Caenorhabditis elegans: one gene and its partner. The protein of the gene in region 1 purifies or fractionates together with the protein of each later gene. This does not show direct contact. Each region holds a gene or a part of one and is shown in the gene's direction. Other genes may lie near its edges.

The links.
Region 2: the proteins of oac-7 (region 1) and ZK353.9 fractionate together in Caenorhabditis elegans (co-fractionation; one large-scale study listed by BioGRID). This does not show direct contact.

Annotation. Positions count from the first base shown.
Region 1 is NC_003283.11:16,308,040-16,315,455, forward strand, and holds oac-7 (Nose resistant-to-fluoxetine protein N-terminal domain-containing protein), read left to right. Parts: upstream 1-1,765; 5' UTR 1,766-1,889; coding exon 1,890-1,967; intron 1,968-2,010; coding exon 2,011-2,197; intron 2,198-2,243; coding exon 2,244-2,386; intron 2,387-2,435; coding exon 2,436-2,907; intron 2,908-2,954; coding exon 2,955-3,236; intron 3,237-3,289; coding exon 3,290-3,569; intron 3,570-3,622; coding exon 3,623-3,841; intron 3,842-6,123; coding exon 6,124-6,218; intron 6,219-6,264; coding exon 6,265-6,410; intron 6,411-6,459; coding exon 6,460-6,545; intron 6,546-6,592; coding exon 6,593-6,713; 3' UTR 6,714-6,736; downstream 6,737-7,416. Other genes in the region: srxa-7 (G_PROTEIN_RECEP_F1_2 domain-containing protein), read left to right, coding at 222-394, 445-819, 1,375-1,584; str-214 (Serpentine receptor class r-10), read left to right, coding at 7,265-7,416.
Region 2 is NC_003281.10:8,407,819-8,412,793, forward strand, and holds ZK353.9 (PITH domain-containing protein ZK353.9), read left to right. Parts: upstream 1-1,677; coding exon 1,678-1,785; intron 1,786-2,217; coding exon 2,218-2,291; intron 2,292-3,203; coding exon 3,204-3,561; intron 3,562-3,946; coding exon 3,947-4,033; 3' UTR 4,034-4,199; downstream 4,200-4,975. Other genes in the region: cyy-1 (Cyclin-Y), read left to right, coding at 1-128, 179-341, 918-1,022.

The DNA of each region.
Region 1 (7,416 bases):
ATTTTGAAAATCTGAAAAAATAATTGTAGAGCTTTTCACCCACTTTTTACATCATCTGTAGCACATAGCCGAATAGAAATTTGTGTTTCCAAAAGATCGAAGCAGCCGACAATGTTTTCCTAACCCGTAAGATGTCGAGCGCCGTGGAATGCATTATTTCAGACCTAGTAGCCACAGTCATTGAAATTTTGTGAAAAACTTAATAAACTATATTTTTCCAGCATACCGTGAAATGATTGGACGTGAATTCACAATGCTCGGCACATTGACATATTTTATTCCAATGTGCGTCAGTGTTCTCATGACGATGAATCGATTTTTCATCGTGATCCGGCCGACAGATCAACGAGTTTTCGGTCAACGAAGGATCTTTTTCTATAGCTTTTTGATTTTGGTGAGCTTGAGTGTTTACGATTTCAATACAATTAAATATAAAACTTTCAGATCCTCTGCTTCACTCTCCTCCTGATCCCTCGTCTCTCCTACTGCCCAGTCAACTTCCTCGCTAGTACACTGGTCTTCCTGACGGCATGTGCTCCAGAAAGACATCCTGTGACAAAATTCACAAATATCAATGCAATCTGGGTGCCGACGACCCTTCTAGTCATCAATGTCCTTATGATGCTCCATTTGAAAGCTCACCGCTATGATTTTTACACGAGGATACGGCAAAAATCGTCGGTTATTTCAATGCTGTCTTCGAGCAGCTTGGCGCAGAGTCAACTGAAAAGGGAGAATATGCTCATGCGGCAGACGGTTGCAATCACAGTTGGACTGTCGTTTTATGAAGTTGGATCTCTGTTAATGAGAACGTTTCCTGTAAGTTTGATTCAAAGGAAAATTTACAAAATGCTCCGTTTTAAAATCGTCGTGTCAAAGTTTTTTGGAAATTCATATAGGAATTTAGATTATTCTTCTTTTTGAAAATTAACTTGTTTTTTATTAAAAAATTACGAAAGTTTCTCAAAAACTGAATTTAACCTCAATATCAGCACAGGTCGTTTTTGAGCAACTTTTCGGTTTTTCAAACTGAAAGTAAATTTATTTTTAAAAATTGTAAATGTTTTTCTAGATGACTATTTTAATTTCCAAAAAAAACTTCGACACGACGCTGAGAAAAATAAATTTATAGCACACCTCTGCAGTTTGTTTGTCTTGTTCCCTCAGCGGATCATGCGCAGCCGACATCAGTCGAGGAACGCGTGGGCCACTTAATTCGATGATCGCGGTCCTCGATCGATGTCGGCTGCGCATTCTTTTCCCAGCAAATCTACAAAACTGTCCAATTGGGTAGGGAAAACCAAATTTTACAGCCAAAATGCACTTCAATATAATGAGCATATAATCTTTAAATATGTATCTGTCAATTTCCAGGACGCGTATAACAGTCTACCTCAATACGTGCGGGATTTAACATTTTATTTTCGCCTTGAGACCATATGTGCCATAAACTTTTTCGTCTACTATTTGGGAAGTCCGTCAACGCGAAAAATGCTCAAAAAATATTTGGGCGCAGAAGTGAAGAAGGAATTCAGTACTAGAAAAGTGTCCAGTACATTTCAAATGTCTCGGATAGAAAATTGAAGTTTATTTTAATTTTTTCAAGTAAATGCATTTCGTCTATCCTTATAATAAAAATTAAACCAAAACACACTTGTTGGGTGCACGTAGGACTGAGAAGAGACGCAGACAGTCTGACAGTCACACAATTGCGTAATACTACATAAGACAGTTGAGTGTTGATCTTTTGACCAAATTTTCGACCGAAAAATTTATTGAGAATTTGTCATTGGAAAATGAATTGACGGATTATGCTTATGAATTGTTGAATTTTCACAAAAAAAAATTCGATTCTCATTAGCCTACACATTTTTTATTCAGTTCAAAAAATGCTTTACAAATATTTTTACATTTTTCTTTTCACTTTTGCAATTTTTATCGGAACTTTGGAAGCTGATAGCTGGGAGGTTTGTGATTTTAATTTGGACTGCACTTGTTAACAAGTTTCAGAAAATTTTAAAATCCGAGAATGCTTCAAATTCTTTGAATGAAGTGAATGCTCAATGCGCAAATGATACTCGAACTTGGTTACAATCTCTGAAACTAGTTGCAGAAGTTTCTGTGGATTGCTTGATTTCGAGGAAGTGCAACAAAAAAGAGATTCAAATTATTAAGGATAACTTTTATGCGATCGAACGTGAGTTTTTGCTCTTTTATATTGGAAAAGTATGAAAATGTTTCAGAGCTCGACGCATTTGGTAAACTCCCCTCATCAGGTATCTTCGAAGTTCCTCTGATCTTCGATGGATCTTACCAAGAATGCCAAAGAATTAGTGGTAAAAAATATGAAACGAATTATTGCTACTTGGTCTTGGTTCCTGGCAGAGTAGGGATTTTCTATTTTTTTTTCGGCTTTTGCTTACTCTGTAATTCAGAACTCATCCTGCTCTATAGGCGGAGGTGGTGGCTTCTTGCCTAGCGCCGCGTTTTTCAGAAGTGCCACGTGTATGTCTGTATCGTGTACTTCTGAGGATCTCCCGCAACTTTTTAATCAACTTCCGCTGATGCCATTTACGGCTTGTGCAGCATTTTGTTCAAGTTTTCCAGTTGAGAAGGACTCGGCGTTCTGGGGGTTCTCTGCATTTATGTGCGTTATGATATCAATTTTGGTTCTGGCAACTTTTATTGATTATCTCAAAGATGCTATGAAAAATGAGCATTCCCCGCCGCCACAACCAAATTTGATCATGAAAATGTTGCTGACATTTTCATTATGGACGAATGCGGGGGTGTTATTGAGCGTGAAGGAGCAGAAGCCTGGATTTATAAAATGCTTGGACTGCATTCGGTTTTTGTCAATGCTATGGGTTGTTACAGGACACACGTTTACGTTTGTGATACCTCCAGGTAGGATGTTTGTATCAAAATATCTACTCAAACACCTGTTGTTCCAGATACATTACTCTCTATGTCACACTTCACCGATCACTTCTGGAATCACCTCCTACTCAACGCATTTGTCTCCGTTGACACTTTCTTCCTGCTGTCTGGAATCGTCGTTGCTTACCTATTCTTCAAGCAAAAGCATAAATCATCTCAAATCAAAAGCCCACTTACTTGGATCATATTCTACATGCATAGATATCTCCGGTTAACTCCTCCATACATGATTTTCATTGGTTTTTATATTGTCTACGGGAAATACGTGCAAGGTCCATTTTCGGCTAGTCAGTTTAGTGAGTTTGAAAGTACTTCTCAATTTTTTTGACTTTATAAAACAAATTTTCAGACACCCTGCTCTCTAGCATCGCAACTTGTGAATCGTACTGGTGGAAGAATTTGTTTTACATCAACAACATGGGAGATTCCAGTACAGCCTGCTATGCACCGTCATGGTATTTGGCAGTTGATACTCAACTATACATTTTTGCACCAATAATCCTAGTTGGTCTCTACTACTCGGCGATAATTGGGAGTAGCTTGATAGCAGTTGGAATGATCGGAAGTTTGGTTACTGTCTATATTTTGTATAGTATTTATGACTTGCCAGCTGATTTTTTTGGAAATGGGTAAGTTCAAATTTTCTGGCACATTCGGAAAATTTGCAATTTATAATTTCCAGAAACACCAATCTTCTATACGATATGATTTATCACAAGCCATGGATCCGATGTCCTCCGTATCTTATAGGTCTTCTTATTGGCTACGGTCTAGCTGTATTTGGTCAAAGAAAAATCCGGATTCATTGGTTCCTTGCGGTGATTGGATGGCTTGTGGCTTTTGGTCTTGGAATGGCATGCATGTTTTCCACATATGATTACGACAAAGGTGCTTACTGGAGGTAATGGGAAAGTTTTATTGATACTGAAGTTTGGTTGGAGATTTGAAACAAGAAATAATAGTAAAAAGTATGATATTGCAGTACCAAATGTAATTTTTGTTTCTTGGTCCAAAAAGATTAAAAAAATTTAAAATGTGAAATATGTACAGTGCTGGCCAAAAAGATATCCACTTTTGGTTTTTTGTGTGTAACTTTTTTCTCAAGCATCCATTTGACTTGAATTTTTCCGTGTGCATAAAGCGAAATGTTACGCAAATTTGCGGACCAAACATTACATGATTATCGATTTTTTCTGAATTTTATTTCAATTTTTTGATTTTTTCGTTTTTCCAATTTTCATTATTTTTTTTGAATTATCAATAAAACGCACTCTGTTTGTTGCACTGGATTTGTTTGGTTGATAAATTATTTTTAAGGTATGGTAAAATCTGTTGGGTGTAAAAATCTTTCCTTGGACGTCAAGAAAGCCATTGTAGCTGGCTTCGAACAAGGAATACCCACGAAAATGCTCGCGCTGCAAATTCAACGTTCTCCGTCGACTATTTGGAAAGTAATCAAGAAGTACCAAACTGAGGTGAGTTCGAAAAATATTATTTTTTAATAATAAATGTTTAGAAATCCGTCGCTTTGAGAATCTCGCCCGGCAGGCCTCGAGTGACAACCCATAGGATGGATCGCAACATCCTCCGATCAGCAAGAGAAGATCCGCATAGGACCGCCACGGATATTCAAATGATTATAAGTTCTCCAAATGAACCTGTACCAAGTAAACGAACTGTTCGTCGACGTTTACAGCAAGCAGGACTACACGGACGAAAGCCAGTCAAGAAACCGTTCATCAGTAAGAAAAATCGCATGGCTCGAGTTGCGTGGGCAAAAGCGCATCTTCGTTGGGGACGTCAGGAATGGGCTAAACACATCTGGTCTGACGAAAGCAAGTTCAATTTGTTCGGGAGTGATGGAAATTCCTGGGTACGTCGTCCTGTTGGCTCTAGGTACTCTCCAAAGTATCAATGCCCAACCGTTAAGCATGGAGGTGGGAGCGTCATGGTGTGGGGGTGCTTCACCAGCACTTCCATGGGCCCACTAAGGAGAATCCAAAGCATTATGGATCGTTTTCAATACGAAAACATCTTGGAAACTACAATGCGACCCTGGGCACTTCAAAATGTGGGCCGTGGCTTCGTGTTTCAGCAGGATAACGATCCTAAGCATACTTCTCTTCATGTGCGTTCCTGGTTTCAACGTCGTCGTGTGCATTTGCTCGATTGGCCAAGTCAGTCTCCGGACTTGAATCCAATAGAGCATTTGTGGGAAGAGTTGGAAAGACGTCTTGGAGGTATTCGGGCTTCAAATGCAGATGCCAAATTCAACCAGTTGGAAAACGCTTGGAAAGCTATCCCCATGTCAGTTATTCACAAGCTGATCGACTCGATGCCACGTCGTTGTCAAGCTGTTATTGATGCAAACGGATACGCGACAAAGTATTAAGCATAATTATGTTGTTTTTAAATCCAATTGCTCATATTCCGGTACTTTAATTGTCATTTCCTTGCAACCTCGGTTTTTTCAATATTTCTAGTTTTTCGATTTTTTTGAATTTTTCTGAAGTTTTTTCAAAATCTGTTGAACATTTTTGATGAATATTGTGTTTTTAGATTTTGTGAACACTGTGGTGAAGTTTCAAAACAAAATAACCACTTAGAAAAAAGTTACACACAAAAAACCAAAAGTGGATATCTTTTTGGCCAGCACTGTATATGTAAATAGCGCCAGAAGGGGATTTTGTTAAAATAAACGCATAACGCTTCAAGAAGACTTACTAAAGTGAAACATAGGAAAGTTTTGAAGTTTTACAAAGCTTCAAATTTTAAAAAAAGTTGGACTAAATGCTTCATATTTTTTTCATTATTTTCCAGATGTTTTGAAATTTCGGAAACTCAAAAAGTTTCCACAGTTATCTAGCAATATTCAAAAATGTCAGAAATTTCTAGAAATTTCTAATTATTTTCAGAAGATTTTTGGACTTTCCAGTTGATTAAAAAAGTTTCAAGACTATTGTAGAAGTCTCTAGAAATGTTTTTTTTAATTAGAGATTTTCAGAACTTTCCAGATTTTTCAGTTTTCTAACAATTTTCCATACGTTTCAAAGTATTTCAGCAAAATTCAAATTTTCATGAGAGTTCTAGAAATTTTTTTCAGAACTTTCCTCAAACTTTCCAGAATTTTTCAAAAAACATTTTTAGAGCTTTTCAGCAAAAAATCTAGGAAAAGATTTCCAGCATCTTTGCCCGAGCCACCTACTACAACTTTTCGCGGATAGCCTGGTCTATTGCAGTTTCCTGGGTTATTGTTGCAAACCATATGGGATGGGGAGGTACCGTAACTCTACAGTAACTTTTTAAAGTATAGTTTCGTTGCAGGCCCCATCGATGCATTTATGTCCCATCCGATGTGGCAGCCACTTGGGAGACTGTCATATTGCGCGTATATTGTACACTTTTTCACACTTTTTTGGTACCTAAATATTAATGATTCCAGTATGCATTTTTACTCAACGTTTCAAGTGGTGAGTTTGAGATTTTTATTTTTAATTTGAATAAAATTCAAAAATTCAGTTTATTTACTACGCGGTGCCGGCATGCCTCCTGTCCTACATTTTCGCTTTCTTCTGGAGCTCATTATTTGAAATTCCGATACTGAAGTAGGTAGCATCCGACATCTCGCGGGCCAAAAATTGTATTATTTCAGACTGAAGAAAATGATGATTGAAGCAATTCTCCAAAGAAACCAACGGTCAGAACTCACACAGGTGGAAACTTTAGTACAAGAGAGCAACGCGGGAAGTGAAGAGCAATTGATAAGATTATGAAAATAAAGTATTTTAATATACCATATTTTTGAAATGTTTTTGTTTTCAATGGCTTGTTGCGATTGCCAAAATTTTAAAAATATGAAATTTGTGAAAATTCTAAGTAATTTCGCATGTACCGCCCCCTACAATGTTTTAATACAAATAATTTTTTAAAAAATTATAGTATAAAAATGTAGGAAATTTTTTTTTGCCGACTTCCAAAACTATGAGTGGCAAAAACTGAGTAATTGTCACTTTTTGACAGTAAATAAAAATATTTAAAAAATGTTTTTGAAAAGTTTCATTATAATATTCGGTCATTTTGGCGCCATTCTGGTAGTTTTTACCATTTTTCCCACTGGCGTAACTCCACTTTTAAATGCTAATATGACTGGCCTACAAAACTTCAAAATACTTAACGTGATGAAAAATACTAGAAAACAATTCTAGGCATCAATTTGTTATCACAAACAAGTAAAAAAAATTCCCAAAAGAAATGGATCTCATCTATGCTCAACCAACCCTGATATTCTTACATTCGATTGTTTTACAACTGTACGAATTTTTCAATGGCCTCCTGGAAACAGCTCCAAGACAATATCCAGATCATGGGAGCCGGCGTTGCTTTATTTTTGAATTGCATCCTGATTAACATTATTACTAAGCATTCACCAAAAGAAATTGGTGATTATAAATATTTGATGTTATTTATTTCATGTTT
Region 2 (4,975 bases), on another chromosome or scaffold:
TTGTGTCCTTCAAATTGGCGTCGGGTTGTACTCGGTTCAATCATGTTGGCATCAAAAGTATGGGATGATCAAGCTGTTTGGAATGTTGATTATTGCCAAATTCTTCGAGATACAAATGTTGACGATATGTAAGTATTTTTTTTATTTGGTCAGAAACCCCGTAATTAAATTATTTCAGGAACGAATTAGAACGGCGGTTTTTGGAATGTCTCGACTTTAATATTGAAGTTCCGTCGTCGGTGTATGCCAAGTATTATTTCGATCTTCGAACATTGGCACTTGCAAATGATTTACAATTACCAATTCAACCGTTGTATAAGGAGAGAGCGCAAAGATTAGAGGTAACCTTTTTGACAATTGATTTTCGGGGAAAAAGTTAAAAATTACCAAAAAAAATTATTTTTTTGTTGCATAAACAAAAAGAAATGTCAATTTTTAGATCAAAGGGGTCTCTGATGTTTTTCTGTTTTTTTTGCAATTTTTTTTCAAAATTTAATATTTTAGTCTATTGGAATAATTGAAAAATTTTCATAGAAAAATCGAAAAAAATATTTTCTGAAAATTAACAGAAAAAATGAATTTTTCATCGAATTATGTCTATGTTGATGAGAAGAAAACATAAATTATTTTCAAAAAAGAGCGATAATGGTCAAAATTAAAAAAAAAAATTTGAAAATATAAATCGAAAAAATACGAAAATTTGCGTTTTTTTTTTCTGTGTAAAATCGAAAAACATATAAAAAAAAAGAAAATAAGAACAAAGAAAAATTGTCAAATAGTAATATCCTTTGTATGCAATAAGATTGAAACATGATTTTTAATGTGCTGTTTATTCTCGAAAAAATAATTCTGAAAGTTTCAACATTTGAAAAAAACTTTTTAAATTCTTCCCAATTTCTTATTCAACAATTTTACAGGCTTTGAGCCGTGTCTTCGAGGATAAGATTCAATCATCATCGCTTCCAAAGCGTGCCCGGTCAGCTGAACATCTTGTCTTTGAGCATCCGGCTGTTCTCTCGTAGACATTTTTTTTTCTAATTTAAATATTTTGTTCAGTCAATTTATTGTAATATTTATAATTCTGTAGTTTCAATGGATTTGCCTTCTTTTTGATTTCAAGAATGTTAAAAGAGAAGGTATTTCCAAAACCGCTACAGTTTATTCTCGCATGTAACTTATTTCAACCTGCCCCAGTCAACCCCAATGCATAATAATTTGAAAACGCCATAATGTTTCTTTTGTATGTCTTGTCAACTGTTAATGTTTTTGCTTCTTCCTTTGCTATTCTCTTAATTATTTCTCTGCACACTATCGTTTTATCTTGAATACGGCTAAATTCGTTTCCTTTGACAAACCCCATCTTGTTTTCCTTCTCAAATTGCTTGTATTTTCAAAAAAAGAAGTTTGTTGGCTATTTAATTGACTCAATACCTATCTCAGAAAATCTCATTTTCTCTTTCTTTGTTTTCTTTCGATCCCTCCAGTATTACAAAATATCTGCAAATACTTCTGTATCACCATGATCAACCCATGTCCTCTTTTGAATAGATACATTTGAATCGATTACAGTAAAATTGTTTTCTGAAAAACTTTTTCAGAGTGTTTTAATATTTGATGGTTGAAAAATACCGATACTTGGCATTTATTCAAAAGTAGTTTAAATAGTTTTTTGTCCAGATGTGTTCACATGGTCATTCTCACAATTGTGCCGCAGAGCACATTCCAGAAGTTCCAGGTGATGACGTGTATCGCTACGATATGGTCAGCTATATTGACATGGAAAAGGTAAACATAAAAAACAAAAATGATTGAAATCAGCAAAAACACACTTAAAACGTTCGAATTTAAAGTTTTCCCGAAGATACCTAACGAGACCCAATGTTTGGGGGCGGAGCGTATTTATTTAGTGTTGGAGCGCGCTTGCACCTCTATGCCAAAGAGGCTTTTTTCTACGTACCCATAAATAAATAATTGAAAGATGCATTGTAAGATGAAACATATAAATATTCTGAGTATCGAAAAAAACAGGAATAGTTTTTCAAGAACTAATTAAATATTCTTGTTCGAAATTAAAATAAAAATTAAATTTAAAATGCGTTAACTGTAACTTCTCCCTACAATCTCACAAAATTAGGAAAACGCATCGCGAGAAATGCCATCCGCTGTCAACGTTTTTATTATTCAATTCAGCAATTAAATTGATACCAATTCTCTCAGGTAACTACTCTCAACGAGTCAGTCGACGGCGCCGGAAAGAAGGTTTTCAAGGTGATGGAAAAAAGAGATGACAGGTTAGCTAGTACATGAGGATTACATTTTTATATAGGATTATTCCGACGATAAAACATTCCATTTTAAAGAGTATTGTGGTAATGGGGAGTATTTTGAAAATTATTTATGTCTACGAAATAGTGGCTAATCGGAAAAAGTTGACAACTCTTCAGTATTACTCACAGAAATTGGTATAAACTTAAATTCCCAGACGTGAAAATTTGTAATTTTGGCGACAAGAATACGGTACCCGGTCTCAACACGACAATTATTTTCCAAATGAGAAAAGATGTGCGCATTTACAGAGTACGGTAGAGTTTATAGAGTACTGTAGACTAACGCTCATTTCTGTCGAATTTTTATCAACATAGTTTTTATTTCACGTTTTGTTCAAATTTATGTGTTTATATTTGAGTTATTAAATATATAAATGTATTTACCGAAAAAAACTATGACAAATCTATGAAGATCCGCAATATCGAACGTTCGAAACTACAGTACTCTCTAACTCTTTAAAGACGCACACATTTTCGCATTAAAAATTTAGTCGTGTCGAGACCGTGTACCGTATTTTGTTAAAAATCTCAAAATTCGCGTCCGGGTAATATGGGACTCAGCTTTAATCACATCTCGCAGCGATCTTACAGTAATCTACCGTACCCGCCACGCAGCCACATAATTTAGATTATTTAAAACAAATAAGTCATATGGTAATGTTAAAGTTTTAAAATTAAACTAGGTATTCTGAAGGTTCGCTAAATACTTTTTCGTAATGAAGATAAACTTAAGTACTTATTGTATCAAATTGCTGACAGCTGTCTTTCTATCTGTCAATAGAACAACCTGAACAACTAATCTGTCAACTAATGCCCCAATGTCCAGAGAAAGAAAAGTATACACGTACATATACACTCTTAAAAATCAAATTTCAGATTGGAATACGTAGAAAGTGATTGCGATCACGAGTTGCTATTCAATATTCCATTCACCGGACACGTTCGTCTAACGGGTCTCTCGATAATCGGAGACGAAGATGGATCACATCCAGCCAAAATTCGATTGTTCAAAGATCGAGAGGCAATGTCATTTGATGACTGTAGTATTGAGGCAGATCAGGAAATTGATTTGAAACAAGATCCACAAGGACTCGTGGATTATCCGTTGAAAGCTTCAAAGTTTGGAAATATTCATAATCTATCGATTTTGGTAGATGCAAACTTTGGAGAAGATGAGACAAAGATCTACTATATCGGATTACGTGGAGAATTTCAGCACGAGTTCAGACAAAGGGTAAGGAAAAATTTGAATATTAGCCAGACGCGAAATATTTTTTCACCAATGGGTCTCGACACGACGAATTTGTGAAAGGAGAAAAGATGTGCGTCTTAAAAGAGTACTGTAATTTTTAAATCTTGTTAGATACTGCAGAAAGTTTTATTGATTTTTCTGGATTTAAAATTTTTATTATTGAAAAACTTTTTAAAAAAATTTACATTTTTTTAAACGTCGAAGAAATGAAAGTTTTAAATACCGTACTCTTCAAAGGCGCACACCATTTCACATTTTACAAACAATCGTCGTGTCAAGACCAAGTACTGTATTTTTGGTGTAAAAATTGCACATCTGGCTTTTACAGAATTTTAATTTGTCGCCTCGGAAAAAAACCAATTTTCAGATTGCAATTGCCACATACGAATCAAGAGCTCAACTCAAAGATCATAAAAACGAGATTCCAGATGCTGTTGCCAAGGGACTTTTCTAAAATAATTAATTATTGATTACTTGTGAATTCGTTAGTGTTAATCAATCCACGTGGTTTCATATTGACTACCAGTATTTTCGATTGAAATGTTTAAATTGTAACAATACACGACATTTGTCGGAAAGTATGTCCCTCAAATTCTTCTTTGAAGTAAATTATTTCTCTCAATTGTCTTCCGTCTACCGTAATCCATTCCACGGGCATCTGCATCTTCAATCTTCAACGCCCAGCAGTAACCCTTTGACGACAAAATGACAACCCTCTGGGGGGCACATACGCACACATACACTTCTCTCCTCCCATTTCTTTTTTTCTCTCACAATATATTTATGAACGAATGAATGTGAGCGGGAAACTGAAATAGTGTTTATTGGAGAAGAGACGCAGAAGTGCGCTCCTCTACACTTAAAAAGACGGTGGCCGCGAGGGTGAAAAAAATGGAAGAAGCATACATTTTTTGTTGCGAAATGAATTCAATGGAATGAACAAGGATTGGTCAATTGTGAAGAGACGCAGAACAAAGGCAGAATTGTACAAAACAATACATAAAGGATGCATGAATCATAATAGGAATTTGGTATACTGTAATAATGCCACGTCATTATCTCTTTGGTTGAGAAAGTACGCGTTATCGTTGTATAATATCGTATTGGGTTACGGTAGTTTTTAAAAGACATGTTAAGTTTATCGAAATGTAGCGATGTTGGCCCCAAAAATACTGTACTTGGTCTCGACACGCCATCATTTTGATAAAATAATATACGCACCTTTAAAGTGTACTGTAACTTCAAACTCTCATCGTTGCAGAATTTTCATCGATTGTTACTAGTTCTTCGATCAGAAATATTAATTCATTGAAAACCTCAAAAATAAAGAAGCACGCATTTTCGCAAAAAATTATCGTGTCGAGACTGGGTGTGCTAACATCCGAAAATTCTGAAT